Linked DNA regions of Struthio camelus. The protein of the gene in region 1 interacts with the protein of each later gene in a biochemical or structural test. Links are inferred from orthologs where the notes say so. Each region holds a gene or a part of one and is shown in the gene's direction. Other genes may lie near its edges.

Region 1 (7,473 bases):
GTTTGCAGAGAATAAGGCTTCCACGGCTGTTTTGGCATCTTTTAATGTCAAGAGCCAAATGCAGCAATGAAAGCAAAAGTTGCGGCTCGAAGTTGCGGCATCGGCGGCCTTAGTGGGAAAACGGCCGGCGCAAGGAACTACCTTAAACAACCGTGTGGTGAATCAAAATAAAGGTAGGGGAGGGGAGGCTGGGAAACGCGGGGCTAGCCGTTAATTTCTTTTGTCTGGCTCACTTCTCTCCCGGTGACACGAGATCCCTGCTATTCAGCGCCAAATTCTGTTGAGCAAACAGAATGAGCGGAGCTGCTGCTGCGGAAAGAGAGCAAGAGCAAGCCCGGGGGGGGCCTGTGAACGCGCGCAGGTCCGCGGGGGCTGCCGGCCCGGAGCTGGCTCGGCTCGGCCCTCCCCGCGCTCGCTCCCCTCCTGCCACAGGAAACCCTCGCTGCTGTGCTCTCCTCCCTCGCCGATAGACGTGTGCACAGATTTATAGTGACAAGCGAGAAGAGGCCGCGCAGCTTTCTCCCTCTCTCGGGGTTTGATGAGTTTCTGCTCCAGATTGGAGCCACTCTTGAAAACGCAGGGGGCTGCTTGTTTTGGTTTGTGTTGGTGTTGGGGGAACAGGCGGGCCGCCGGGGGGTCTCCATGCCCCCTGCCGCGGTGGCCCCCCCGCCTCCCTGCGCATCCGGGAGCCGCTCGTTCCCCGGAGCTTGCAGGAATCAGCAGGCAGGAGAGTCTTTGCCCTCTGCTAAAGAAGAAAACACTACTAAACTTTTTTGGGGGAGAGGGGGAGGAAGACATTAAAAAAAAAAGTGAAAAAGGTGACCAGCCCGTGGATGACCCATGCAAATACAGCCTGGCCAGCATAGGGCTATTCAATGTATATACACCATAAGGGAAGCTCAGCGTTTTACGGGTCCAGATTAGCAGCCCTGCGTTCACGGACCTTAGAGAAGGCAGGCGGGAAGAGCCGAGCGAGCCCCGGGAAGGGCCGAGGCCCGGCCCGGTGCAAGGCGGGCGGCCCCGGCGGGGTGCGGGCGGCCGGGGCTGGCAGGCGGTTTCAGCACCGCGCATCAAAGTGAACGCTGCGAAGGCTTGAACATGGGTAACAATAATCAAAACCAGACTTTCCTTCCCACCACCACAAAGGCTGAGTCCCCACGACGGGGCTTTTTTGCAGGGCCCGGGGCACCCCGCCGGCCGGGACGGCAGCACCGCACTCCGCGCGCTGCAGAAGGAGGTAGCCGCTCCCGCGGCCGCTTGGGGTCCAAATTAACCCCCTATTAGCCTGCCTAATAGCCTGCAGCTAGTTAAACTCAACCCAGCTCACCCTTGGGAGAGAGCTTCAGGAAGGGGCTCATTATTCGCAGCAAATTGGGACTCCTCCTGAGGGGCTGAGCAAGGCCTCTCGCAGGCTCCCAGCCCCTCTGGAAAAGTCCGAGACGGCAAAGAACCGCCCTGGAAAAAGGGGGAAAACGCAGCTTTCCTCGGCCCCGTCGTTGCCCTCGGGCCGGACCCCTGCAGGCGCTTGGGCCTGGGGGAAGGAGCTGCCCCGCCGGCCCGCGCCCACCCCGGAGGGCACGTTGGGAGCGCAAACAGGCGAGAGCGGCTCTAGCCCGGACGCCAGTTTTGTTTAAGACGTGCAGCTTCCATCTGTTGCCACATAAACACACGCTAGCAGGATGCCTTACGCTCCAGCCCCCTATGGGGGGAGGAGAGGAGAGGAGACAGACTTGGGGGTAGCAGTGGTGAAAATCCCCCACCCCCAGCCTGTCCTTTCAGTAACCCCAAGTCCCCCGCGCCTCCCTGGACGGGACCCCCCTGGGCCACACGGGGCGGGGGGAGCTAGCTCCGGAGTCGTCCTAAACGCGTTTATTTGAAATACCACCTCCCCTGCTCGGGACCAATCCATAGGCACCGCCAGCACTTCGGGGGGGGAGCGGCCCAGCTGCTTTCCTGCTGCGGCCGACCTGCCCTTGCAGGCGGCTCCGCGGCCCCTCGCCCGACGCCACGGTCGGGGGCTGCCTGCGGGCCAAGCCCGGCGAGGCCCCCGGGGGCCGGGGAGGGCTCGAGGGTCCCTCCCGCTGCCGCTCCACTGGGAGAAACCCAGTGCCCGCCTTGCCCGGGGCACAGCCTCTCGCCCTGCCGCCAGCCCGTCCCCCGGCTCCCCTGCGCCTTGCGGGGTCTGCCGGCCGCGGCGGGGGACTCCTCGCCCTCCTCCTTCCTCGGGGGGGCGGGCGCGGGGCCGGGGAGCCACGTCGGGGGAAGCGTCAGCGCTGCCCCCGGAGCCGTCCTCGCCGGCCCAGGAGGGGCTGGGGGACGGGGACACCGCCTGCCCCGTCCCCTGTCCCTGCGGGAGCCGGCGGGCTCCCCGCCCGCAGCGCCAGGCTGGCCTAGCAGGCAGCTTTACCAGTCCCGAATTTGCAGTTTTGTATTTTTTGCTCGGTCCTGTGAGATGCCACATGGAAGCCGTTAACGAATGCTCGATAATGATCATGACAAAAGCATTATTCAAATGAGGCAGGTAATTGCAACCAGAAGGCGCGTTCTCCCCTTCCTTTTCCTCCTTTCTTTCTGCAAGAGTTCCTCTCCCATTACTTCTGATCCTGACGGTACTTCGCCAAGAATCACCTTCATCGCTTTGCACCTTAAACCAGATACACTTACGCCGATAAATCACAACCAAACGAAGCACGACCGTGCAGAATGTCCTCAGCGCTCACAGGGAGTTGTTGTAACCGATTTGAACTTTAAATCTTCGTGGCGCTTAAATCTGCGCGAACCCAGAGCCCTGATCAAATTAATGATAGGGTTTTTCTCCTCCAGCCTCCACAAATTACCGGGGTCGAGGCTGCTGTGTTTGCTTGCACCCCGAGGTAGATAATTCCAAGGTGCAGTGACTTTTTGCCTTGCTTTTTTGCTCGCTTGGAGCCTGTTGTTTATTCACAAGCATTACGGTATCCTGTTAGCATTCCGAACAAGGGGCTGCTCACAGATCTGACTCCGATGATTTCCTGGAGGAACATGTGGAAGCAATAGCGGGGTTGTGCACTCACCAGGCTGAGGATGCACTAGTGGAGAGCACGCAAAAGGCTGTGAGCACCACTGGGGACCCTGCAAACCCAGCCACTGGGACCTCAGCTTGAACATGCTTTTCACAGGAGTTGGTTCTCGTTTCTGCCCCCATTCCCTTCAGGGAATCTGCGCTTCAGAGGCTTAATTCTCCTTCTGTTAGGAAGGAGAAAAAAAGCACTGGATCCTGCTGCTTGACTTTGAGAACAAACTTTTCTTTTGTGCAACGCTAAACGGAAGAAAAATAAATAAATAGAAAAGCAGGCGCAGGAGGGAGGGTGGGCGAGCCGCGGGATGGGGGGGAAGCAGGAGGGAGCGCGGGGCGCAGCTCCGGCGTCGGTGCGGCTCCCCGGGCGGCGGCGGCGGCGGCGGCGGCGGCGGCGGCGGCGGCGGCGGCGGCGCGGCGCGCTCCGTTCCTGGGGCTGCACTGCCCCCTCGCCCGCGGCCGCCGCATCGCCCCGCCGCCAGCACCGGCGCCGCGCCGCTTTTCGCACGGACTCTCCAGAAAAAGGCAAGAGCAGCTCCCTGTGAACTCCCACGGCTACCTCTTATCGGCAGCAAATAGCAAGAGCCAACAAAGAAGAGATACCCGACTCTCCCCAGCGGGGATCAAAGCTCTGCCCAGAGCGTATTCAAACAGGACCCACTCAAACGTGCGCAGCCCTCGCCTCCACAGGCACCTCCAGCCCTCGGCAGTGCCCCGTGGCTTGGTTATTACTGGGTTTTGTTTGCGTGGAGCAAACCAAAGGAAGAGAAGAGTAGAAGAGCTTTCCCGATCCCGCCAAAGCGCCACGGTTTGGTGTGGCTGGCTCCTTGTGAAGGTTACCTTTCGTTGTGTCTTTCATTCATAAATATTAGAGATTCGTCTCTCTCCCTCTCTCAGTGCTTCCTGCTTCTGGCTGCCACCCAGCCGTCCATGCAGCTCTCTCTACCAAGCCCATGCTCAGTAGTGTACAAAGGACATGAGGAAGCTGCACATTCGTTTCCCGATCAAACTCCTCATCCATAAACTCACACTGTGACCGCGGACACCGAGCCCGGCGCCCGACCCACCTTCCTAGAGGGTCTGAGGAGGAAGGCTCATTCATGACATTGGGAACACTCTGAGTTTTCATGAAACTTTTTTTTTTTCCCCCTGCAGTGCAAAACTCTCCGATTCCCCCTTTCCTCCCCCTCGCCCCTGCCATATGGCTAACCTCCCCCCTCCTCTGCAAGGCTGGTGAAATCTGGAGGCTGAGACTGGCCCCCCTGCCTGCGTAAGAGCCCGCCGCCGGCACGCCCGCCTCCGGCCGCGGGGCTGGGGGCGCCGAGCGCGCCAGCGCGGCTCTTATTCTGAAGGGGCCGGAGGGGGCTTAATTTCCTGACAGCTATTTACTTAAAGCAAATGATTAGTTTTGGAAGGATGGACTATAACATTGAATCAATTACGGGACGCGGTTTGTGAGCCCATTACAGTCGGATCTGGAGGGAGGGCGAGCGGGAGGGAAAGAGCGCGGCGGAGCGGGGAAAGTCACAAAAGACGTGGACATATTTTGGATATTTTACAATCTGCAGGATTGTAACTGCGGATTACAAAGGAGAAGGTACGAGGTGAGGGAGGATTTTCCCACTTTTTTTTTCATCTTTTCTCCCTCTTTGTTGCTGTTGTCGTTGTTTTATGTTCCTCTCCCCCCCACCCACCCCACCCCCGTAATTTATGTGTATTTATGTGGGCTTTTTTAATGCTCTGTCGGCGGAGCCCCGGTGCGGCTGGACCGGGCGGCGGACGCCTTCCCGCGGGGCGCAGGCGGCGGCGGCGGGCGCTGGGGCCCACGGCGCTGCGCGGGGCGCGGGGAGCCGGCGCTGCGCGGCCGTCGGGGCGCGGGCGGCGAGCAGCGCGGGCGGCGCTAATGACAAACACATTGGGGCGGCGGGGGCCACCGCGCCGCGCTCCTGCCGCGGGGGCCGTAGCGCCCCGACGGGCTCCGCGGGCTGCTGCGGTGCCCGCCCCGGCGGGGACGGGGCCACAAGCACCGACAAAGCGAGGTAGGGTCGTGGCCAGCCGCTCTCTCTCTTCTCGCAACCCGTTTAATCCCCACCTCTGCCCTTGCTTCCTTCGCCCCCGCTGCTCTCCGGTCCCTTCCCCCACCCTTTGTTTTTCACCACCTTCCCCTCTTTAGAACCCCCTTCCCTGCCTAAGTCCCTCCGACCGGGTAGTCTAAAGAGCCTGAGACCCCGAGGAGGGGACACACAAACACCCCCCATCCAGGCAAGCCCATCTCCATCCTGGCGCGCCCCGTCTTTTTTACACGTCTCGGCGGAAGGGAAGATGCTGAATTCAGGCAGCCCGACTGGTACCTGGAGGCTTTCCAGCTTACAGCCCCGCTTACAACGGGAACCCAGCCCCGCTCCTCCCTACCAGACTCCCGAAGCCCACCGCCTTGCAACCCAGGGGAGGGCAGAGTCTTCACGGCCACCGTCTGGATTTTGTCAAGCGCGGAGGTTGCAAATTTGCCAGCTTCTGCCAGGCTGGAGTCCCCTGGAAAGCCCTAGGAGCAAGTAGGAAATGGCTTTTTGGCTGTCCACAGCATTGCTCAACATTTTTGGATGGCGATTCAGCAGCCCAGGAGCCGTTCCAGAGAACAGGACTTGGACAGCTTTTTCTGGAGCGAGCAGCGACAGATTTCGCGAGGCAGCAGCAGCAGCCCCCGAGCTGCAGCAGCCAGCCCCTGCGGCTTGCCCACATCCCGGAGGACCGCGGGAGTGCCTTGGCCACCCCCTGAGCCCTGCGCATGCTTCCCGTGCCCCTTGACGGCCTTTTTGGTGCATCTCTTGCAAATCCTGCAGCCTCCTGGCACACCGCTGGCACCCGGACTCCACCAGCCGGCATGGACCGGCATCACCGCAGGCTGGGTCAGGCCTGACGGACACGGTGCCCCTGGCGATTCCTGGCTGCCCCTGGACCCCACGGGCAAGTGTGTGCAGTCCTCCGAGAGGGTGCAGGAAGGTCCGTGTCTTGCCTGATGGAGAGAGCTGAGAAAAGAAGCCCGGAGCTCACCTCAAATCAGAGTGCCAACCATATTTAATCAGCTCTGGAGGGAAACGCATGTTTGCTCTCCCCTTCCCCCCTTATCCCTGTCGCCCTTTTCTTTTTCCTGGCTACCTCATGTGAAAAAATTTGCTCCAGCTTGGCAAAGGCTTTCCTATTGTTTCCTAGACAAACAGTGGTGGGCTGGGAGCTGCCATCTCTGCTAGGTTTGCTGGGTGTCCCAGGCAGCCTTTAGTCACCCACGGTGTAAGCAGTCAGAGCCTGGCTCAGCCGAGGAGCCGTGGGCACCAGGAGGCCCCGGGAAGTGGCACTTCTCCCGCTCCCTCGGGGCTTCTGGCTCTCTGCGAGCCAGACTGGGGCTGGCAAGCATCGACACCCCACGGTGGGGGCTGGAGAGCGTGAATGCACCCGCTCCCAAACTGAGCAGGCTGATAGCCTGGGTGTCCTCGGCTGTGAGGCAGGAGTGCTGGAGCAGCGGGACCCGCTGTTCTGGGCCAGCCTTGCTCCCCTCTTGCCACCTTTCCCCTGGTTCCCCTGTGCTGCCAAGCAGGGCTGGGGGCACCTTCAGGCACCCCGAGGCATCCAGGGAGGTCCCGTCCAGGGCTGATAGAGCCCAGCTGGGCTCCCGCCTTCATGTGTCGACTTGGCGTCCCTGGACGGGGCAAGAGACAGGATCTGGCAAAACGAGGGGACAAGCATCAAAGGTTCCTCTGTCAGCGGCTGGAGCAAAATGTGAATTGTACAGATCCGGCTTTTAATTATGGGTCTAGAAGTGAGAGGAAGATCTCCCAGCAAGGGACTTCACTTTTAGCTTCCAGTAAACAATGGGCGTTTTAGAAAGGCCCTCTGCTAAACAGTGGTTTAGTTAACCTTCCTCTCAGAGCTTGAAAAAAAGTTTAAAGAAAAATGAGGTCATACAAAGCACTGGGATTTAGGAGTCCGCAAGTAAAACAGCTCTCCCAGCTTGCAGGCAGTCACTCGTCGCTTAAAACGAGACTCCTTGTTCTGGTAGTGCTCTGTAGACATCAAGGGGGAGAAGGTGTGCCACACTGGCAGTGATTGGGCACTGGGGCCACCTTTCTTGTTATTTGCTGCTCGATATATGGAAGATTGTTGAGAGTAATATACATGTATTAGGTTTCAAGAAAGCGGGAAGTAATAAATATTTGAATAAAATGCCTCTCCACAATACTACAGTATCAAGCTAGGATTTGGGTGTCATTTATATAGGCCAAAGAAGACTTGCATGCTACAGACCTTGTTGGTAATTGCCAACTACATCACCTGGTGTAAAATGGAACATAAAATGGATTATTTTATACAAGTCTTGCCTTGCTTGTATCCTTTGTTCATCATGGCCGCAATGGCACTAGTCC
Region 2 (6,993 bases), on another chromosome or scaffold:
AGAGTTGGGTCTCACCTGCCACTGAAGGCTCCCATGGGACCTGTTCCGTTCCCAGCAGAGCAAACCGTCTCCAGAACTATCATGGCTTGGAGTTATTGACCCACGCAGGCCAAACAGGACACAGCTACCTTGTGTATTCACTTTCTGCAGCACTGTGTAGCTTTACGGAGCCTTTTCTGATCCCTCCGCTTAACTGAAACCTCGTAGCAGATTTGCATCTTGTGATTATTTGAAAATTATCAACCATGAAAGCATCTGGAAAGCTGCACCAAAGAAAGTTTCAAAGCAAACAGAGCTCCGCCAGAGGGACGGAGCCGATGAAAGGATCCAAAAGGAAGAGCTGGAAAAGGAGGAAATAATATTTGTAGGTATAACAGCTGGAATAACAACTGTCTTGCTTGTTCTCCTTGCATCTTGCCTTGTTGCTCTTCCTGGGCCAAGTTTCAGGCAAGAGCCTGTTTTTCCTGCTGTAAGACCGTTTCGCGTTTGTACGCTTCACTCCCACCGGGGACATCTTTGTACCCGTTTCCCAAGGCAGGTGCCAGTCAAGCAAGAAGGAAGATGACCTACCCTCACCATTGGCACGCGTCCCTCTGAAACTACAAGCCAAAGAAATGAACATTCGGGAACAGAGAGAAACCACCCAAAGTGGTACACAGCTTCCTGTGTACCTTTCTGGGTTTGACTTCCTGAACTTTTATCCTGGCATTATATCGTTCAGCACTGATGCTCAGTGATGCGGGGTCTGAACCTCTGAGAACATTTCTTACGGTCCGTTGCTGGAGCCAGGACCCTCCCTGCTCTTGGTGCATTTTCAGCTGCCGTGACAGGACGTATCTAGCAGGATGCACTTAATCGCTTTGGATAGCCCCAAACAGCCCACTATCATAAAAGGAGGTGTCCCTCCCCCCCAAAAAAAACTAGCCAAAACTCATTCTGTTCTTATTCATTTTAATGTGATTACCAATGAGGAAAAGTCCTGGAGAGCACGCCCTCCCGCCACGGCTCGGTGGCCCCCCCCCAGCCCACGCACCCTTCCTGCGAGGCGGCTGGCACCCGCCCGCAGCCCGCGAAGCTGCTCTGAAACAGGAGGTGGTCCCACCAGGCAGCTTGACCTAGCCGCGTTTCTGACACCTGAGCCTGCGCTGCTTTAAACGCGAGGTGTAAATGGGGCTGGAAACGTCATTTAGGGGCACCCTGGGTTTATGCGTCACCGCTTGCAGAAACCGCTCGTGCCACTGAAGTAGTTTCATTTTGTGTCTGTATGAAGGAGCTTCAGCACGTTCCCCCTCCTCGCCAAGTGCTGCACCGAGCCTGAGGTCCTCCCTCTCCACCGTCTGTAACGGTCTGATGCTAGGCTAATTCCTAACGTTTGAGGGACTTCTAACAGTATGTGCAGCACCTTTAAATTAGACCAGTAACATCTTGCTTGCTCCGGTCAAATACATAAAAAAAGGGGCAAAAGATAATTTTCTGATGCTCTGTTATCTGTCCTGATTTTCTTTTAAACCTATAAATACCACCCTGTCACTCTTTCCACGTGTGTGGCTGTATGGGACACGTATGGTACGCACAGGGCTAACAGACCTGCAGGCTGCAGGAAGGGTGCCGTGCAGACATAAACTGCATTCCCCATTGCTCTTGTACACCGTTTTTCATACAGAAATGGTTTTGCATGCTTTATAAAAACTCTCACAACTTAGAGCAAATGCATTCTTATATCACACAACACCCAAGGAGAAAAATTTGTTTCATAAGGAGAGAGACAACCCAAGTATAAAGCTGTTTTCAGAATCTGTGTGTGAATTTTATTCACGTTCTCTGGTCTTGGGTCTCTTCTGGGATCTTACATATTTTACATTATTATCAAATATTTGCAATGATCCATATAAACAGTCTAATGTTAAAAGCTACTCCAAGTGTAACTTGACCCAGGGTAAAGATGCTTATCTGAGCTCAACAATGACAGATTTAAAAAAGATGCTGATGCAGTATGTTTCTCATAAAAATGAGGGAAATGCAAGAAAAATCAAAACTGCAAAGACTTCTTAACAATAGATAAATTAGAAGTTCTCTCCATGTTGGCTTTAGTAGAGGAACATCACTTGAAAGAGCTACACACAAACACCCAGCAATGCTGATGCCAGATACACATTAGCCAATGAACGAAGGAAAGAGAGGAGTAAATGCTCAGTGAGATCGGTACTGTCAGAATCTATTTCACTGTTTGGTAATTATTATTTTTATTACTATGACAACGCGGACCATAGGAGTTGTTTCTTTAACCCCAGCAAATGATAAGTGCAGATCAGAAGTTTTTAAACTGAAGTCATCACTTTTTGCTTCTGTGATGTCAACCGCTATGTAAGAAAGTGATGGCAACAACCAAAGTGCCCAGCTCTGGTCTGCCTCCAGCTTACCCTGCTGGCCTGAGAGCAGCCGGCGAGGACGGGTCTGCTGCAATGTGGCACTCGAACCTTCTTCCCTTCTCTTTTTTTTTCCTTTTTTTATCAGAAGGCATTTGGGAATGGCTCCACACTGGCTCAGCGTTTTCTGTTTGGGGGGGGGGGAGGAAAGAAAGGCATTCCCCTTTTTAAAGTGCTTCCAAATCTTTTACATTTCTTTTCCTTTTCTCCCTTTTCAACCCCCACCTTTTTTCCCCCCCTTGTGGTCCTGGAGACCACCCTGTAAGTCTACATGACATCATGAGAGAGAATTACACGTACTTGAAAGGCCACTTCTGTTTTGGTGGGAACTTCTATGCAATTGCAAAGTGCCCATTAAAGCACAGGTTGTTTCCTAGAAGCATGTCCAAGCCAGTAGCGTGCAAACCCCTTCAGGGCTTCTAGAAAGCATTCGCTTTTGAAATGCTGAAGGAAATTCAGAGATGAAAGGATAAGTCTCCCTGGCTGTGCATTTACAGTCTATTGTCTTCCGTGAAGGATAGTATCACTCCTCAGTTGTGTTATTGCAGTTAATCCACTTAAATGCTATTGGATTTTCAGACGAGCTGAATTCTTTGCATCTGCTATTAAGATGCTTTGTTTAGCTGAGAAAGGGCTGTTATTTAAATCACAATGAGTTCAGGGAGATGTCAGGGTGCAGCAGGCACCTTGTGCCAATGCGCGCCGGCGAGAAGGGGCATTTTCTCGGCGGGCCGGCGGGGAGGGAGGCGGCGGCGGGAGGGCGCGCTGCCCCCGGCGGCCGCGGGCGGCTGCGGGCAGGGGCGGCCGGGGCGCCGCGCCTCCGCGGCCGCGGCGGGGAGCCCCGCGCCCGCGCATGCCGCAGCCAGGTGCCGCAGGGCGGAGGGCGCCTGCCGCTCACGGCCACCCCGCGCTGCTTAATTTTTATTTTATTTTATTTTATTTTTGAGGGGGTGTGTGTGTTTGGGGGGGGTGGGTTATCCCGTGCAATGCAGGCTGAACTGCAACAGAGAAGGAAAATTAAAGAAAAAAAAAAAACCCCACCCCAGCGCCAGTTTGTCCCTCCCGTTTTGCAAAAGGCGAGAGCCCTCGGCCCCCACCCCCCCAAAAAAAAAAAAAACCCAGGACCCCTCCTCGATCAGGGCGAGCTCTTTCCGCCTCACCGCAGAGGCAGGGCACAAGGTGGATGCCGGCGGGGCGCAGGGCGGCCGCGGCGCAGCGCCTCCAGCCCTTGGCCGCGCCGCCGCCCCAGTGCCGCAGAGGGCCGGGGCGGCGGGGGCTGCCCCGCTGCCCTCGGCCCCTAGCCCTGCCCCGGCTCCGCGCTTTCTTCCTATTATTATTATTATTATTATTATTATTATTATTATTATTATTATTATTAATTCCGCCCCCCGCGCGGGCGGGCAGAGCCCCTCTGGCGGCGGAGCAGGGCTGCAGCTGGCGGCACCCCCGCGGCGCGCTGCTCGGGGGGCTGGGGCCGGGAGGGCCGGGGGAGGGCCGGGGGAGGCGCAAGCGGCGCGGCCGCGCTATATGCTGCTCCGCCGAGCAGCCACGCTGCACACAGGCCAGCGCTTCGCAGCCCGCCCGGCAAGGCTCCCTCCGCCAGGAGTTGCAGTTCGTCTCCGATCCCCTTGGGATTTAAACCTTCTTGCATATATATATATATATATATATATATATATATATATATATATATATATATATATATATATATATTCTTTTTTTTTCCTTCCTCCTCCTCCTCTTCCTCGCTTTTCTCCCGTGCAAAGTGGAGAAGGGAACTGCACCGAGGCAGCCAGCGAGATCTTGCAATATTGCTCCGATTTATCACTGCTATTATCTATAATTAATTATTATTTTTAACCTCACCCCCAAGCCGGGGAGGGAAGAGGGACCATTCTCAGCAAGAGAAACATTTCGATCCGTATCAATAAAGATCTTTTGCTTTTTTTTTTTTTTAATTTTTATTTTCCCCTTTTTGCAAAAGGGGCAGAGGGTGGAGGGCAGCCTAGCGGGGTGGGAGAAAATCCGGCAAATAAGAGAAATCCATCCGTCCTAATCCCGAGCGGGAGGCCGCGGCGCGGCGGGGGGAGGCGGGCCCCAGCGCCGCCCGCCGGGGGGCGAGCCGCCCCAGACAGGTGATGGGCGTTTCGGCTGCGCTCCGGATCGACTCCTTGGGTTTCACTTTGGTCTGATCTAAGCAAATATGCAGAAGTACCGGCTGGTCTAGTCCTAAGAGCCAAGAGGAGCGAGCGAGAGCAGCAGACACGAGCGCAGCCACGCTCCCGTAGCGAGGGGAACATACAAACACCGGCAGCGCCGCGATTAAACCACCGCCGCCCCGAGGCAGCCCCGGCCACCGCGGATGCGGAGCAGCCCCGAGCCACCCCGCTGTCTCGCCCCTGAGGGATGGTACTGAATTTCTGCGCGGCAGGAGCCGGCCTGCAGCTCCTCTCCATCAGCGTTGCCTTCCCTCCGTGTCTAAAGTGCATTAGACCGCGATGAGGACCTGGGCTTGCGTTTTGCTGATAGGTTTTGGCTACCTGTCCTTTACCTTCTGCGAGGTAGGTGAGAGCGGCTTGTCGCGGTCGCGGGGCCCGGGAGGCGCCGCAGCCGGCGCTGGGGCGAGCCGGCGGCGGAGGCACCGGGGAGCGGGCTGCCCGCCCGGCGGCCGCGGCATCTCCGCGCCTGGCCTGGCCGGCGGCGCTCGCCCTGCCCCAGCCCCTGCGCGGCCGCGGCAAAATAGCGAGTTGCCATTTCATGCATGCCGGAGGCGAAGGGCAATGACCGTGCATTCCGCTGCGGGGCTGCAGGCTGCAGGCGCGCTTAAAAAATATACATGTGTGTGTATATATATAAAAATATATAGAAATATATATGTTATATTCACGCCTCTCCCCCCCACCCCGGTGCAAAGGGGCTGCGATTACTTGCAAACAGAGCGCAGCGCGGAGCCGCCGGGCAGGGCCGCCCCGCGGCGCACGGCGCTGCACGCCGCCGGGCACCGTTGGCGAGGGCCGCGGCTCCCGCGGGCGCCCCGGGGCGAAGTTGGCTTAATACAGCCCGAAACGCCCCTCCGCGGCTTTGCAGACGAGCCGGGTCAGAGTGGGCGAGGGTCGGGCTCGAACCCGCCGCCCGGGGGCCGCCCGGGGGCGCGGAGCCGCTTGCCGGGGTTGCTACAGGTGGCCGCGCTGGGGTCGGGGAAGGGGGGGGTGCTCGGCGCTGCCGGCGGCCGTAACTTTCCCGGGGGCGGCGGCTGCGCAGGGTGGGAGCTCGCGGGCCGGCGGGGCCCCGGCGCTCCGCGCTCGCGGAGCCCGCGCTGAACTTTCGGCCGCTCGGGCAAACTTCAGCCCTGGGAGCCCGGGGTGTGTGTGTGTGGGGGGGGGGGGTTGCAGCCGGCGGGGGGCGGCGGGGAGAGGGCGGCGGCAACGGGGCGCAAACTCCGCGCCGGGTCGGGGCCGCGCGGGCCGTGGCGCAGCTCAGCGGGCGCGCAGCGGGGCGCGCTCCAGCAGCCGGCGGGGGTTTCGGGGGGGAGGGGGTTGCCCGTGCCTCGTCCCTACCCCCTGCGAGCACCCCAAATCCCAGCCCCGAAGCACCAGACGCGGAGGGCTGCGCGGTGACCCGCGGTGCGTGTGTGTCTTTGAAGGAGGCCGAGATCCCGCAGGAGCTCATCGAGCGGCTGGCGCACAGCGAGATCCACAGCATCCGCGACTTGCAGCGCCTCCTGGAGATTGACTCCGTAGGTAAATTAGTCCCGTCCTCCTTCCTTCCGCGCCGTCGGCCGCCGCCGCCCCGCGGGGAGGCTCCGCGGGCGGCTGCGCCCCGCGCCGGCCCCCGGCCTCGGCCCCCGGCCCCGGGGCTTTATTTGCCGGGGAGGCGGCGGCCAAGGGGCCGATGGGGCGTTCAGAGTTGGGGGCGTTGAGGGTGGAGGGGCAGCCGGCCACCCGGCCACCCTCGGCGTTTTCAGACCGCGGCGTTTCTCAGCGGGGAAGAATTTCCATAGGGTGTAGTTGTTGCCCTTGCATTGCTCTGTTATCTTTAAACTACTGTCCTAGAGGCATTTAAAATATTTGAAACAATATTTATGAATGAAGTAATGTCTCTTCAAGAGCTGGGCTTTATTAAAAGGAAAATAAACCCGTCCATACTGATTTTAAACAGGAACCTGCCTATGAAGCTTACCCTTAAAAATACACTTTTTCCAAAAGAAAATAGCGCAGGGTTATTTTCTGCATCATTAGGCATGCAAATGGGTGTAGTGAGAACGTGCAGTTCAAACAAATCGTTGCAGCAGTAAATCAGATCCAGGAGCACTGTATAGCTGGGTTTCTTATCGTTTGGTTTCACTTGATGCACTTTGTTCTTGGCAATTTCTTCTCTTAGTTGAGAGAGAATAAACCCGGCACCTTTGATGTGCCCAGGGGAAACCTGCATCTTTCTGAAGAACAAACATGGAGAAAAATGAATGAATTCTTGCTTGCGTTGGTACCGGGCCATCTCCTTTTGAACCATATGCTGTGTATTTTTGTAAAGTCTGTGCCAGGTTCAGTCACCTTCATTCAGTGTTGCA
Region 3 (7,609 bases), about 17 Mb from region 1:
TTTATCACACATCCATAAAAGATTTTGTACAAAAACAGTATTTAATAACTTAGTTTAAGACTTTTTTGCACAATTAAAAATAATTCCATAATGTGAACATAAACATTTAAACCTCAACCCTGCTATGCCAGCAGTCAGTTCATATGTAACTACACTGAAATCCAGAGAACCTAGCACAAAAGCAGACATTTGCCTGTGCATCTGGATGATCAGATGTTTATTAATTTTAAATTACACGCTAAACTTTGCAAAATGCTTGTTTTTCTTTGGTATGATTTCACAAAGAATATACAGGCGTATCTATCAATTGATTTTTTTTCATTCGTGATAGGAAGTGAGACAAGGACTGGGGAGACAAGAGGATCAATCTTCTGTTCCTAACACTGGGTCTTAATCCTGCAAACAATTATGTAAATGCCTAACTCCAGCTCTTGTGAGACCTGAATTTGATAGAACTAATTGTGTTTGTGGAGTTACACATTTCCTGAAGCACTTCCCTTTGGCTGCATCTCATGCATAAAAAGGGGTTTATGTCTTAGCCTTTTTCTGTTTTCCTCCCCAATATTGTAGTCTTCCCTCTATTCCTCCCCAGAAGAGAAATGCTTATCTCATGGTCGGGGGAGTGGGGGGAGTCTTTCTGAGCACAGCATAAAGAGTAAAAAATAGCATGCTTCCTTACAGAACTTGCTTGGAATATCTAAAACCCATGGAAGCCAGGTGAATCTCTTGGTGTCAGTTCAACTCGTAAAGGACAGAATATGCATCTCTCCAACTCCAATTCACTTCAGTAATTCATTAAGTTAATAATAATCAGAGAGGAAACCTTTTTATTTCAATAATTTTTATAGTTCTGTGATAAAAAGACTACACACCATCACAATGAGACACTAGAGTCCGAAAAGGATAAATTTCCATTGCCTTCTCTGGGCACTTAGTTTCAGTAACATTATTTCTGGAACTGGAGCAAAACAAATCCTGTGGGGCAATCCAACCTAGATAATTAGAATTTTATTCTAGTAAACAAAAATCACTTAGAAGAATTCTAAATGATAATGAAAAAACAGCATTATAAAACAATTTGACAGGGACAAATCAGTGTTGCTACTCTGTAGAGCAAATTATGTCTCTCGAACTATTTGAAGATGACAATTAATGGAGAAATGCCTGTTGCAATATTCAAATTAAAAAAATACTTGACACACAATTGAATAGACTATATTAAAAACACCTTGAAAATTCAAAGAAGTAAAAACGTTCCTGATACACCATCAGAAAGACTACATAATGTAAGCTAGGTGGTTGTGGGAAGAGATATGTGATGGCAACTGACCAGGGGATGAAAGATAAAGAAGACTTAAGTGCAGTTCTCAGCATGGAGAGAAGTTAGGAATAGAAGGCTATGTGTAGTTTAAAACACTTATTATGGATGCAGAAAAGAAAGTGAACACTGAATTATCAAAACATGAATGACCCAGATAGCTTTAAAAAATCTGGAGAAATCTGGACACTGGAGTTGCTAGAACTCACATGCATTGGCATTGTGGTCCCATGTTAATTCAGTATTGGCAATGCAGGGTAATGTGCACTGGCAAGAATGATCTGGACTATACATACACTGCTTTGACATAATTGTCTAGCCATTCAGAATATTTTTTAAATGTCAGTATTACTGTGGATCATTGCAGGAGCAGTGGCAATAAAAAGATAAAAAGTATGCATAAGAATTGTCATACACAATGAAAAATAAATATTCTGTTTTAACTATATTTAAGAATATAACTATATTCTATATATATAAAAAACTTGTATAACTATATATATATATAAAAGAATATATAATAATTTAACTATATATAAGAATCCCAGCCTTCACCTGGAATATTGTGTTCTGGTTGTCCTGCCCCAAATAAAGTATAGCAGAAATATAGGGGACTCTGAAATGCTTAGAGGTACAGAGATATTCAGATGAAAAGCATAGTAAATATGCATAGTTTGGAAAGGATATGATAGGGTTATAATACAGAAAATAAATAGAGTGAAGAAGTTAAGTTGTTTATATTTACCTATTCTCATAATTCAAGCACATAAATATACTTGATGAAACTGGAGAGTAAAACAAAAATCAAAAATAAGCATAGATATCTGGTAATAAATGCTCAGCATGAATTTCAGAGAAGATTGGATGTTTATAAGGGTAGCGATTAACACACACAATATTTTGTTTGGGATTAACAACAAAAGCATTTTTGAAAGGGATGTAGAGTCTTATGATCAAAAATATACCCTGATCTTTAATTACTGAAGGTTAAGAATAAAAGCTCCCTCTCCAGATAGTGTTATTCCATATTCATCCACTATGGGGTTTCTTGCATTTTCCTTTGAAATGTCAGAGCCGGGATGCCATAGGAAACACTACTCTGATGCAGCCTAGATTTTCAAAGCTATAGAAGATGTTGGATGATTTAGCTTTCATGTACACAGTTTGAGACATCGTATAAGGTCCCTGTTTTCAGAGCAAACTCGTCATCCATTTCCTAAAATACAAAGAACCCTCTAAAAAATCCTCAAGCAATGGAAGTTAAGATACAGTGCAATATTTCATTTATTTGATTACAAAAAACACAGCTTGTAATCCTCAAGGTAAAAGATCTGAGAGTAGTACATTTTAATTTTCTTACCATTTTTAAATAACAAAGATGAAATCAACAAATAATAAATAACAATAATAAAAATAATAAATACATAGTCTGCTTAGTCCAGTAGCTTGCTTTCTTCAGACTGTGTAAGGGAAGGGTTGCCATTCACAGTATGCTCCAACTCTACCTTTCAAAACACTGTTCAGTTTGGACAGACAGCTTTCATCTCCAACTAGAATATGTCACTTATTGAGAACAGAGGGGATGCTTATCAGTGTTATCATTGTTACCCTGTAGCTGAGGAGAAGAAATAGCTTAGTTATATAATATGAAGAGCTGGGTCAAGGGATAAGAAATCTGTACAGAACGTACAAATTCCAGTAGTGCAGACTCCGTTCTTCTCTTGCATATCTTACACAGGTGGCGAGTGAGACCTCTGTGGTATGGATCTTCCCATGTGTCCCCCAAACCACCTCAGAACTATGGGGGCTGGAGTCACTATTTAAAAATTTCCCAGATGAGAGGAAAGGCTGAAGCCTTCCTGTCACTTCCCTTGCACTCCCTGTATTTAGTTAGCACTCAGTCTTGTTACCCAGACCCGTCACATTGCCATGGGTTTGAACCCTACTCTAAACAAGTTAGAAAGTTTGTCAGCTGTAACGAAGAAGTTGGAACACGACTTTATCTTAATGGATGCTCATATCATCAGTCCTTTTAGGCCTCACTAAAGTTAATGGGAGGATACTCCTCAATAATTCCCGTTCAGGCTGCTGGAGAAACAGGAAAAAAAGCCATTCTAGAGAGTGTCTGCTTTATGGATAACACTTCACTGAGTGCTACACAGCATTTCATCAAAAAAAGAGAGACAGCTGTAAAAAGTTGAATAAAAGAAGGTAGCATTTCCATCTATTTATGTAAATACTTAAAGGTGTCATTTCAAGGTAGCTGAAACAGCAAATTCTGTCAGAAGAAAAATAATCTGTACCCAGAGTCTTTTTAACGTTCTCTTCATATTTCGTTTCCAACCATCAAGGAAATGCTTCCTATGAAATGTTTAACTATGCATTAAATTTTCAAGTACAAACCCAACTACCATAAAAACATAGTATTAGCCCAGTAAACAAATACCGGTAAGTCAGCATAACGACTCATCCTAATTACTAAACCCAGAAATTGGCCTGGACCGCAGTGACCTCAATCCCTCACCCAGACGCTCGTGCCCCGGCCAGGAACCAGGGGTGGCTTGTGGGCACCCGCCTGCAGGGCCAGGGCCAGAGCCGGGGGCCAAGGCCGCCAAGGCCAGGGCCGCCAGGCCCGCGGGCCGCTGCTGCTGGCGTTTGACAGGCTGCCCCAAGGCCCGCCGCAAGCTGCCAAGCTAGGCCAGGGGTCCAGGCCTGCCGCAAGCCCGGCGGCGCACAACTCCCGAGTTTTTGCCCCGGCGCAATTTTGGAAGCGGTCAGTACGGGTGGCTAATGTGTGCTGTTACTGAGGCAGCTGAAAATAGGGTATCATAAGCTCTCAAGGTCAAAAGGTCCTTCTCGCTACAGAGGCATTTTCGGCAGGGCTCAGGCACGGCCGCGGGGCCACGGCGGCACCACCTCACGGCGCAGCGGCCAAGGGGGCACTGGCCGGAGAATTTCCGTTTTCTTTCTGCTTCCAACCCGGGGCAGGGAGGAGATTCCCCGTGTATCGGTGCTTCAGCACCTGCCACGGCCGGCCGTCAAGGCGGGCGGGGGGCGGCGGGGGCGACCGGGCGCTGCCGGCCCACTCCCGCCCTCCCCCACGCGCCGGCCGGCCCAACGGCCGCCGCCGCCCGCCCAACGGCCGCCGCCGGCTCCGCGGGCAGGGCAGGACCGGGCCGGGCCGGGCCGGGCCGGCCCCGCGGCTCGCCCTCCCTCTGCCGGCCCCGCGGCTCGCCCTCCCTCTGCCGGCCCCGGGACGGGCTGCCCGCGCTAGCGGGGCAGGAGTTGGGACAGGGCGCTTGGCGTGAGCCCGTGCCGGGGGAAGGTGAAGGGAGAGCGCGGCGAGAGGGCTTTAAAGCAGGGGAAGATAGAAGGGAGGAGTTTAGGGAGAGAGACGAGGGTTCCTGGGAAAGGGAGTTTGGGAGAGAGGTGCTCCAGGAGAGAGCTGGGAGGGGGCCAGAGGTCTGCAGGAAGAGGCTGCGGAGGCAGGACCGGCGTCTGAGGAGGGAGCGGAGCGTGGCGAAACTCGCCGGCGCCAGGGGCTGCCCAGCCCGTTTGTACTAATTTCTTCCCAAGCGAAAACTTCTTGTGACTTAGGAAGCTCAAACCAGGTGCGGGGCAGCGCGGGGGCGCGGAGCACCCCCGGCGCCCTCGCCCTGCCCCGGCTTGGAGCCCCGCGCCGCCCTCCGGCCCCGAGGGGCAGGGCAGAAACGCCCGAGGAAGGAGCAGGCGAGAGCGAAGGGGAGCCCCGCCGGGGAGGTACGAGACGCTGCCCGAGCTGGCAGCGCGGCTGCTGATTAGAGGGCGAAGAAGGTATTTCCCCGGCAGTGCGGCCTCCCTCCTTCCCTCCCTCCCTCCCTCCCGTCGTCGCCGCCCGCCCGCCCTGCCGGCCGGCCCGGCCGCGCCGCTGCTGCCCGGCTGACAGGTGCGCGCTCCTCCGCGGCAGCAGCGGCCCGCTCGCCCCCGCCTCTCCCGGCCCCGCTGCCTGCCGTGCGCCTTCGCCAGCCTCGGCCCCCTCCGGCCCCCGCCCGGCGCTACCCCGGATTGTTTAGTCCTTGGGAAGCTGGTCTGGGTCCAGGTTTTGCTTTGATCCTTGAGAGAGAGAAGAAAAAAAGCCAAAGGAAAACAAAACCTGGAGACGCAGCAAAAGGCTCTAGGAAAAAGTTTTGGATGGGATTATGTGGAAACTACCCTGCAATTCTCTGCTGCCAGAGCGGGCTCAGTGCTGCCTTCTCCCCAGCGGCGCAGCCCGCGCCCGGCGCTGGTGAGAGACGCGCGGGCCTCGGTGCCGCTCTGCAAGTGCCTGGTGCGCCTGAGCCCCTCGCCCCGCCGGCCAAATGCTCCTCCTGGCGCTGCTCCTGCTGACATCTGCCCTGGCCGGCCGGCGGCCCGGCGCCGCCGCGGAGTCCGACCTCAGCAGCAAGTTCCCCTTCGCCGGCGCCAAGGAGCAGAACGGTAAGGCGGCCTGCGCCGCGCCCGCGCACCCGGGCGCCCTCCTCTCCCGGCTTGCGGCCGCGGGGCTGCCGGGCACCCCCGGGGCAGCGCGGCTTCCCGCTGCGCGCAGTGCGCGGGGGGCCCGGGCCCGGGCCCGGGGGCGGGGTGCGGGGCGCTTCGTGGCCCGGGCGAGACCGGAATGAATGAGACTGGGCAGCTGTGGTCTCGCTGGGCGCTTGTCACTGCGGGGAACTTGTCAGCCCCGTTAAGTGCAGCCCTACAGGTAAAAGGGCATCGGTTAGCTGGCCGGAGGAGAGCACAGAGCCCCGGAGCCTGTTTGGAGACTCTCCTTCCCGTGGCTGGAGGTGCAAAAAATCTTTTTGGAAATCGCATACCTTTGTGCCGTAAATGTTTGGCTCTCGGGGGGAGGGTTTTTTGTGTCTGAGCGTGAATGAGTGGTATTTTGTATGGGCTGGAAACGAGCTAATCCTGCGTAGGAAATGAGAATTACTTTCAACTTTAAAGTGTACCTGAAATGTTTAGAAAACTCTCAAATGCAAGCTCCCTTGGGCTGGGATTGCATAGAGTTGGAGAAAGACTCCTTTCATACAGCAAGGGCAGCTTCAGGGTGTGTAATTTGCTTACCCTCTGAACTCCATATGATTTACATTATTCAGATTTTTAAGCGCCTTTCCTCTTGATCTGCTATTATGAAGTCATTTTAAAGAATATTTTACAAACTGAAACGTTATGTACTACTACATGAAACCACACTTAGTGTAAAATATCTAAAGTTAGGGCTGTTAGTGTACATTCATGGAAACCATGGTGCTTAATGTAAGGAAAAAATATTTTAGTAGTTTGCATGTCAGCTAGAATGAGATTTCTCCCTGGGCACAAACCAAAGCAGAAGGACAAACTGAGAGCTCCCCAAGTTCTGTGCACTATCATGAAGCAAAGCAAAAATGCGGATTCAAGGCTAGTTCAATTCTTTCAACTTTGAACTCAGGGCTCCCTTGATAAAAGTATCCTATGTCATATCTTTTAATAGAAAGCGAAGGCTCAGAGACTTTTGCAAAGCATTATGAATTAATAGAATATGTAATATGCTATGAAATTTAGCAGGAGAGATTACTACTGCTCTGGCTTCTAATGTGATGATATATGGCACCTGCAGACTGCCATACCCGCTGATCAAAGAGCGGTATAGGGATCAATCTCTAATCAGAGCAACTGTGAAGGGCCCAGGGAGGGTGATCAAAAGAATCAGAAACCCAGCTATTCTGACAGGAAACCAATCAGACTTTGTGCACAGTGCAGGAAATTACCTGCTCTGTATGAGAAAAGAAATCACTCCCTTTCTCCCCCTTCCCGGTTTATCTGGCATTTAGAGGTTTTGGGGCACCTGATTGTGGCAAAAAAGCCCTGGTGCTAACGTACTAGAAACTTGTACTGTTATGCTTCATGCTGTTTAATTAGCATGGTGTACATGTGAAGCATACTGACATACACAGAATTACCGGTGTTGAATTTTGTCAGTCTTGGAAAGAAAGCTAGTATGTTGTCAATCTGCCATAGGAGGTTTGTTGTGTGATAGTGTAGCTGGGCCTTAAAAGGGCACCAAGGTCTAACAATGGGAGTACAACAATCAACTGTAGAGGGTGGGCTATACAGGACAGAAGTAAAACTGGTGTAAATTGGTGTAAGTATAAATGACACTGTACGCTCCATTCTGTTCACATACATCAGAAATGCAGCTGCCCTAGGTCAAGCTTCAACTGGTTTTCAGTGCAGCTTGGCGTGCTGTAAGATACAGTCACTATGTCTTATAATGTGCAAATCCAGGAGAAAATTAGC
Region 4 (7,428 bases), on another chromosome or scaffold:
TGATGACGGTTCTCTGCTAGTGTTTGCAGCACCTGCAACAGGACGAGCAGCCCCTGTGGTCCGTGCAGCCCCCATCAGGGAAGTGCAAAGCTGCAGGAAGTTCATGGGCCACATTTGCCCTGGGTGAGCTCGGGAGAGTTGCCCTTGGGGGCTTTTAGCCAGTGCATAGGGAAGCTCTAATCTTTGGATGCAAAAGGTAAAGATCCACTAGTTGGGCTGGGCTTCAAGTCCGGACAGAACTTGAGAGGGCTAGTATTTTGAGGAAAAAAAGGTGGGTTTTTTTTAAACAGATCATGAAACAGTTGATGTAAATATATATTAAGTATATATAGACATATATATGTGTGTGTATGTGTGTGTGTGTGCATATTATATATATGAAGCATATGATTTGCACACATAAAGTATATTTTGAGAGTGATTGTCCATTGCTTTCAGTGGGGCCAGCAGCTGTATTTTCATTTGGTAGTAGAGGGCCAGACTGGACTCAACAGAACAAGTCACCTCTGGGGACACTGGGGTCAGACCACCTGGAGGAGGGTTTTGTGCTGTGGATGCCAGGCCATGGCTGCATTTCTCCCAGGTCCAGCCCGGCTCCAGCCACCACAGCGGGCAACAGGATTGACTAACACAGTGGGACTCCTTCAGGGCTGGGTGAGCCGACCCTGCTCTGGGCTGCGGTGCAAAGAGTCCCATGAGGTTGTATATGGAGTCATTTTGGACCCAGACTAGGTTAGTAGCCCCGGCCAGGCTGGATCCTAGGGCCTGGCAGAGATGTGAGGCTATATCTATACCACGTTCTCCTCCTTTATCGGAGTTTTTCCACTCTTAGAGGTATCTCAGCCCTCTCTCTGCCCAAGATAATGGAGAGCCAGCTGAAATGGCATTTTAAACTCTTGGCTCCATCTACCAACAATCAGACAAAGCAAAGAGGCAGGATGGGAGAAACTGGCTTTCTGGAAACTTCTGTTTGATGGAGAGGGGTCACACCCCCTTCAATAGAGATCAGAGTCGGGGGTCATTTTGCATCTGCCTTTAGTGAAGAATGGTGGGAAGGGAAATTTAGCTCTGATGAGCTAATTAAATATATATATAATTTCCACTATGTTACCAAAAGAAAAAAAAAAGCCTTGAGCAGCTGCTAGGTCATTGTTTGTGAATTTAAAAATAAAAGTTTCTTGGCATAGTTTGCAGAGATGGAGGCAGTTTGTTGCACTGTCATTCCAGAGGGAAAGGGAGAGAGAGTGAAGGAAGGATGAGGCCAGGCAAGGATAGTTCAGCTTGACTACGTGTTGCTCAGGTGTGTCTTGGCTTTCAAGCCACTTTTCCCTCTGGCTGGCTTAGGTAATCAGTATCCTGCCCAGATGGTGAGCCTCACCAGGGACAGATTTATGGGCCCTACACCCTGAAGGGCAGGGAATGTCCTGTTCCGGGGTGGCTAATGGTTGTCAGGGCCCTGAGTGCAATAAGGGGCCATAATGGCCCTGGCCAGCCACCCCTGGGACCCTCTGCCCATGGGCCTGGGGACTCCATTTCAGCTCAGGCCAGGCACTTGCTTCTGGCCTGAGCTATATTGTGGGTTACAGCATGATCCCAACCCAGCTCCCAGGCCCCGTGCCCCATGCCTGCACAGTGACTTGCCCTGGCTATGATGCCACCATCCTGCCCCAGCTCCATGTCCTTGCCCCAGGTGGGCATCACCCAACCAGTAGCAGCCAGGGCACTTCACAAGGAGTAGGCCTTCAAGCTCAGACCCCTGTGAGGTGTGGGAATATACCCTGATGGTTGTCAGGATGCTGACTGCATTAATGGGCTCTAACTGTCCAACCAGCCTCACCTGGGACTTGCACTCACGCATCCTCTGCTCATGGCCCAGGAGCTCCATCTAACCTGAGCTATGCTGCAGGCACACCTGTGCCTGCTCCTGTCTCCTGCTCTCCTGACTTACCGACTGGTCTTCCTAGCTGGACTCCAGACCTATATTGTGGGTACCCTCTATCTCTGCCCCTGCTCAGGGACTAGGGGATCAGTGGGGTCACTGCCTGGGCTGGGGTCACCCTTGGCTCCTGGTGTGTCCTCTCCTGTGGAGCAGCCCTGCTCTTACTGTTTCCTGGCAATGGCGGCCACCCAGTCCATGGTAGGAGGCTTCATCTCCAGTGGCCTGGATGCTGATTTTTCCCTCCCCACCCTGCTGCATCCATTAGCCTGATGCTTTCTGGCAGCAGCTGCGTGTGAAACAGACCTGAACTTTTCCATTCTCCAGTCTCTGGCGTTGCCAGTTGTTCCTAGCTGGGAATGGGCATTAAACTCGCTATCTGCCAGCAAGCTGCTCCTTGTTCTCCCTTTCATGTCTTGAGACCCATGTGCTGTTTGCGTTGGCCGAGAGGCAGGGGAAGGGGGCCGTTCCCAGCACCCCAGCCCCACACAACTTCTCCACCTGCTCACGTGATATTGGCCGTGGCTGCTACTGCTTTCTGCCTCCTCTGCTTCTCCTGAGCATCCCGAGATGCTCCTTCCCCCCTCCTGTCCCATCAGTGGCTGTCACGCTTGGCGTGCTGTCCTTGGCACGTGAAAGCATCATTCCAAAGAGCCTGCCCCCACTTTCTTGGCAAAAGAGAAATAAAGAAAAGAGACTCACAATTTCCCCACTGCCAGATTTCGCAGCCAGGGAAAGAGAGCGAAGCGTGGGAGGGTCTGGCTGGCTTCAAAGCCCTGCTCCACCTGCTCGCCAACGCAGCCACGAACCCAGGGAAGGTCGGAGACGGGTCTTGGGAAACACTGCTCAAAGCAGGAGGAGGGCTGGAGAAGTTTTCCTTGCTTTTGAGGAAGACTCCTGGCCTGTCTATCTGGATCCCACTATCAGAAGGGACCTCTGCACCCCCAGACACTCCATGGCCGTGTTGGTAAGCTCCAGTTAGCTCTGAGTATCCGTCGCCTTGCGTAAAATACTGCTGGCCCACACCCCCCTTTCCACTGACACTGAGTGGTATTGCCAATACTCACAATCGAGGTTTTTTTCCCCTCCAGGAACAAGGTAGAAAGGTTTTCTGCGTGTGCACGTAAGACAAGTCTGTTTGTCAAGAGGTGTTGGCTCCCTCCTCACTGTGGTTATGGGAAGGCCTTTTTGTTTAAAGAGGAAAACAAATGAAAAGATTCCCCTGACACCCAGCCTTATCAGCCACAAACCCAAGGGAGTCCCTTGTTTAAACATCAGGAGCGCATTGCTGGCTAACACCCCCCACCCCGGGTCACGCTGCTTTTTTTCAGCTGGGCTGGGCTGGGCTGGGCTGGGGGGGTCTGCCTCTATTTGCTCTTTCTGAGTTGCTTTCTTCTTGCCTGACCTGCTCCGGGGGAGTGGGAAGGCAGCGTCGTATGTGAGGGTCCTACAGACAGAGAGCAGTTGCAGGGGCTGGTTGCAAAGCAGAAAGGCATTTTTCTAGGCAGAGCTGCGTCTGGAGCCGAGGGTGGGAACAGCTGAGGGTGCTGCGAGCAGGCTGAAACGCGTGGACAGCTTTCAGGGCATGGCAGGGCCAGGACACGAAGAGACAGAAGTGAGAGAGAAAGGTCCCTCTCCCTTGACCTCAAGTTTCTCTCTCATCCGTGCATACATAAGCCAGCGAGGCAAAAACCGTGTGCTCTCGCCATCCCTCTGTTATGAAAATAGAAGCTGGAGTCAAACTCCTTGGAATTCCCCATGCCTCATCGCTGGGGAGACAGGGTCGTGCTGGCGATGTGACCCCACCAGAAACCTTTCTGTGCACAAGGCTAGCGAGCAAAGAAGAGGGAGGCAGGGAAGGAGAGGGGAGTCATGAGCAGGAAACCAAGAACACATCAGAGGCTATATTTAGATCCTTTTTATTCAGCTCGGACAATATTCCTTGATTTCTCATTGTTCAGGAGAGGGCAGAGGGCAGGGGATCTATTGAAAGGCTTTGTCCTGAGAGATGCCACTTTGTCTGGGTTTACGGGGGTGGAGGAGTGGCACGTTAGGGTGGTCAGGCGCGTGCGAGGGGTGGATGTCCAGCCTGGGCTGCACTGCTTGGTGCGCATCTCAGGAGGGGCAGCCCTGGGACCCACAAAGCAAAGCTTGGAGCTAGCCCATTGCCATCCGCGATAAAAGGGGTGCTAGGGACCACCTCGAGGGCTGCGCCAGTGATTGGCGAGCGGGGCCTTTGCTTTGGGGCCGGTGCCCATGCGAGCGGGGCGTCAGACACAGGGCGTGTAGGTTAAATACACACCGGCTCTATACGTCTCGCTGTCTTTCCGGCATTGCAGCTCAAAGTCTATTTTTAAACTCCCTCCTTTATTACACACGCCGGCAGATAGCGACAGCCGGCCTCCCGCCGTATCAGAAGTGCTGCCCACGCACCCAGGGAGCAGGGTGTCCCCAGCACTGTGCGGGGAGCACCCTGCCCGGGGAGCGGGTGGGCGGCGGGTGTCCACCCGCTCCTCATCCCTGCGCCGGCTCCAGGCACGCAGGCTGCGGAGAAACCGGGATCTTGGTCCGTGTTTGCGCTGCTGCCAACCAAGCCAGGCCAGCTGGTGGCTACCCTGGCACAAGGGTGCCGAAGGGTATTTCTTCCCACCGCATCACGGTTTTGCTCTGAGCCTGCGGCTTTCAGGAGGTGAGGCTCGGGCGCAGCGTGCCCAAATTCACCTTCCCCCCGGTGTCGGCACAACCAAACCGGCGCAGGAGGGAGGGCCAGACCTCGGGGGGGGGACGCGCAGTGAGCGCGCCAGGGAGAAGGGGGCTTTCCGCCTCCGGCTGGGCCTGCGCCCTGACCCCCAGCCAGCACCGCTGAGGACGGGTTTTGCTCTGCGACGTGAGCAACGCTAGCAGGTGGGGGGAAGAAGAGCCGCTCGCTTTTGGTTTTCGACCCTCATCTTCATTTCATATCATGAGTCATGTTACGTTCTGAGCTGAGTAACTGCCGGGGCTATTTTTACTCTAGCTCAGCACGCTTCCTTCTTGACGCTGCTGCTGCCACCGCTTGCTGCAGACCCGGGGCGAAGGATGGGGATACGGTGAGTGGCAGGGGCTGAGGGCGCGGGAAGCGGTGTTTGGCGTGGTGTTGCTTGAGAGGGGGAATGCTCCCCACCCACTCAATTTGGAAACAAAAATAGTATAGCCCTATTCAAAAACAATAGATGACCTCTGACGTGTGGTGTATTCACCCGCACACACATACATATATATTTATTATACCGGGAGAGGGGAAGGGGGGAGGGAGACAAATTCCTTTCCAGTGCTATTCACCAGTCTGGAAAAATAAAGAAGGAAAGCAGAACATTTTTTCCTTTCATCAAAACAGGAAAGACGGGGGAATGGAGTGGGGAGCAGATCCATAGATATAATGGGTGGTTGCCAGAATACGGAAATTGTTCCCTTCTACTCTAAACTGGGGGGAGGGAGGGGGGGGAGAATATACGGTAGCGTGAGCAGGGAAGGCTGCATTGCCACCTCCCCTCCCCGGCACAGGAACGTGCATGCGTACAGGAAAGCCCTGATATATCAGTCCCCCCAGCTTTGCCTTCGCTCTTTGAATTCTGCACAATTCGCACATCCACGGAGATGCAAAGTGACTTTGCCTTCTCCTTCCTCCCAAAGCGTGGGGCAACAGCCATGCCCTGCACAAGCCCTTTCCCTCTCTCCTGTCACTGAGGTCCCTGCTCTGCCCTTTGGATGTGTCTGTGTGTCTTCCTCACCCTCTCATCTTTGCCAAATTTCTGCCAGGCATGGATGAAATGAAAGACGTGGTGAAGGGCAGGGAGTATCCCTCCACCGGGGAGAGACAGGTGGTGGGAAAACTCCCAGGGGTGGCCTGGCAGGTCACATCCAGTAGCTGCTTGCCAGGTGACACCTTCCCCTTTTCCCCCCTCTGGAGTCAATTCCTCCGTGATGATTTACTCATCTCTAGAAACCATTTACCCTGGCAGCTCCAGGGGCAAGACAGTGAATTTTGCACGCCCTGGATGCCTGAAACTCTGCCTTTCTCCAGCACCACATGTAAACCCAATGCTCCCTGCCTGTCTGTCTCCTTCCTTCGTTCTCTTCCCTGTTCCTCCTTTCTTTCTCCTTTAGACTAAACTGAGTTGTCAGGAAGTCGGTGCGACTCCCGTGGAAGTCATTGGGCCATATGGTGCAAATGTGGGCATAAGCTACGTACGTTTACTCAGTTCTGATCGCTTTGGTTGGGATAAACCTGACGTAAACAGGCCCCCGTGGTGTAAAACAGATACACTCGCAGAAAGGGCCTCCTGGTGTAGACTAAGCATCAAACTTACTCCGGGTGCTTAACGTCAGCATGACGACTGCTCCCCTCCATTGACAGTTGTGGCAGCCCCACAGAGTGGGCGTAGGGATTGCTCATCGTTCTCCTGAACTTAGGCACCAGAGTAGTCGCACCACCTAAGTTAGATACCTTGAGTGGGTGGGCTGACTGCAACTTGGCTTTCAACACCTCCTAATTTCTTTCCATTGATTGTTTTTCAAACGAGGATTCATCATGGAGAGGCTGAGACATCTCTGCTGTTCAGACCGAGTCTTGCTTTCCATTGTAAGCCCTGTTTTAATTCCTGCTGTTTCACAATTCTCCAAAAAATAAAAAAGAAAGGAAAAGGTATCACCCCTGACATTGTGCCTCTGTGGATGGTTGCTAGTAGATCATTTTCTCCACCAGCATTTAAGATGAGGGGAGAGGTCTCGCAGCAAGGAATTGTGTATTGTGCTGGGACACGTGTTGCCCGCTCTCTAGTAATAAGGACATAACTGAGGAGATGAGTTCAGCTGTTCACAGGTTAGAAAGCTATGGTGATGGTGAAAGTGTTTTAATAAGAAATGCTGCTACAGGCTCTTATGAAATTGCTGGGTTTTGCCGCAGTTTGCCTGAGGGGCTATTGTCAGCTGTCACACAGTTGCCACCAGACCTTGTCAAGTTGTGATGCTCTAGCAGACCATTTTTATGATCAAGCCACCTCACATAGCCTTGAAATATCTCCCCCAGCATAATGCAACGGCAGCACATATCTCCAACTCTTGTCCTGTGACATCTATGGCACTGATACCACAGCAGCTTTCAGAAGGGGGGCTCCGCACCCACCCCACGGGGCATGTGAAGGGAAGATAGAGTTGTCCCCATTAAAGCTGGGAATTCATGGGATAAATAACAAGCTAATTTCACAAAAGCAAGAGAATAAAAGGAGCTCCCGACTGGCTCAGGGCTCAGTAATTTTAAGTGAGTGCAATTCTATTGAACTCAATGCCAGTGAACTCAGTGGAGTGAGACTGGCACAGCCTGGATTGAAATACCTCACTAGAGAAAAATCTGTCCCCGTCTTAAAAACAGAAAGAATAAGGAAAAGCCACTGAAGCCTGAGTGGCTTAAATATTATTTTGCTCTCTTTCCAAGTGGGGTCATAGGTAGATGA

Evidence for each region.
Region 2: the proteins of PDGFRA (region 1) and PDGFA form a complex in vitro, tested with the Homo sapiens proteins (2 studies listed by BioGRID). The link is inferred for Struthio camelus from reciprocal best matches to the Homo sapiens genes PDGFRA and PDGFA.
Region 3: the proteins of PDGFRA (region 1) and PDGFC form a complex in vitro, tested with the Homo sapiens proteins (2 studies listed by BioGRID and IntAct, with this or other methods). The link is inferred for Struthio camelus from reciprocal best matches to the Homo sapiens genes PDGFRA and PDGFC.
Region 4: the proteins of PDGFRA (region 1) and PDGFB form a complex in vitro, tested with the Homo sapiens proteins (3 studies listed by BioGRID). The link is inferred for Struthio camelus from reciprocal best matches to the Homo sapiens genes PDGFRA and PDGFB.

Annotation. Positions count from the first base shown.
Region 1 is NC_090945.1:56,954,080-56,961,552, reverse strand, and holds the start of PDGFRA (platelet-derived growth factor receptor alpha), read left to right. Parts: upstream 1-4,459; 5' UTR 4,460-4,505; exon of another isoform or gene 4,506-4,623; 5' UTR 4,624-4,652; exon of another isoform or gene 4,653-4,659; intron 4,660-7,473. UniProt on the Homo sapiens protein: Tyrosine-protein kinase that acts as a cell-surface receptor for PDGFA, PDGFB and PDGFC and plays an essential role in the regulation of embryonic development, cell proliferation, survival and chemotaxis.
Region 2 is NC_090956.1:7,681,478-7,688,470, forward strand, and holds the start of PDGFA (platelet-derived growth factor subunit A), read left to right. Parts: upstream 1-3,974; 5' UTR 3,975-4,924; coding exon 4,925-4,987; intron 4,988-6,069; coding exon 6,070-6,166; intron 6,167-6,993.
Region 3 is NC_090945.1:40,445,310-40,452,918, reverse strand, and holds the start of PDGFC (platelet-derived growth factor C), read left to right. Parts: upstream 1-4,599; 5' UTR 4,600-5,655; coding exon 5,656-5,773; intron 5,774-7,609. UniProt on the Homo sapiens protein: Growth factor that plays an essential role in the regulation of embryonic development, cell proliferation, cell migration, survival and chemotaxis. Potent mitogen and chemoattractant for cells of mesenchymal origin.
Region 4 is NC_090942.1:58,076,348-58,083,775, forward strand, and holds the start of PDGFB (platelet-derived growth factor subunit B), read left to right. Parts: upstream 1-4,410; 5' UTR 4,411-4,625; intron 4,626-4,766; exon of another isoform or gene 4,767-4,952; 5' UTR 4,953-5,025; intron 5,026-7,428. UniProt on the Homo sapiens protein: Growth factor that plays an essential role in the regulation of embryonic development, cell proliferation, cell migration, survival and chemotaxis. Potent mitogen for cells of mesenchymal origin.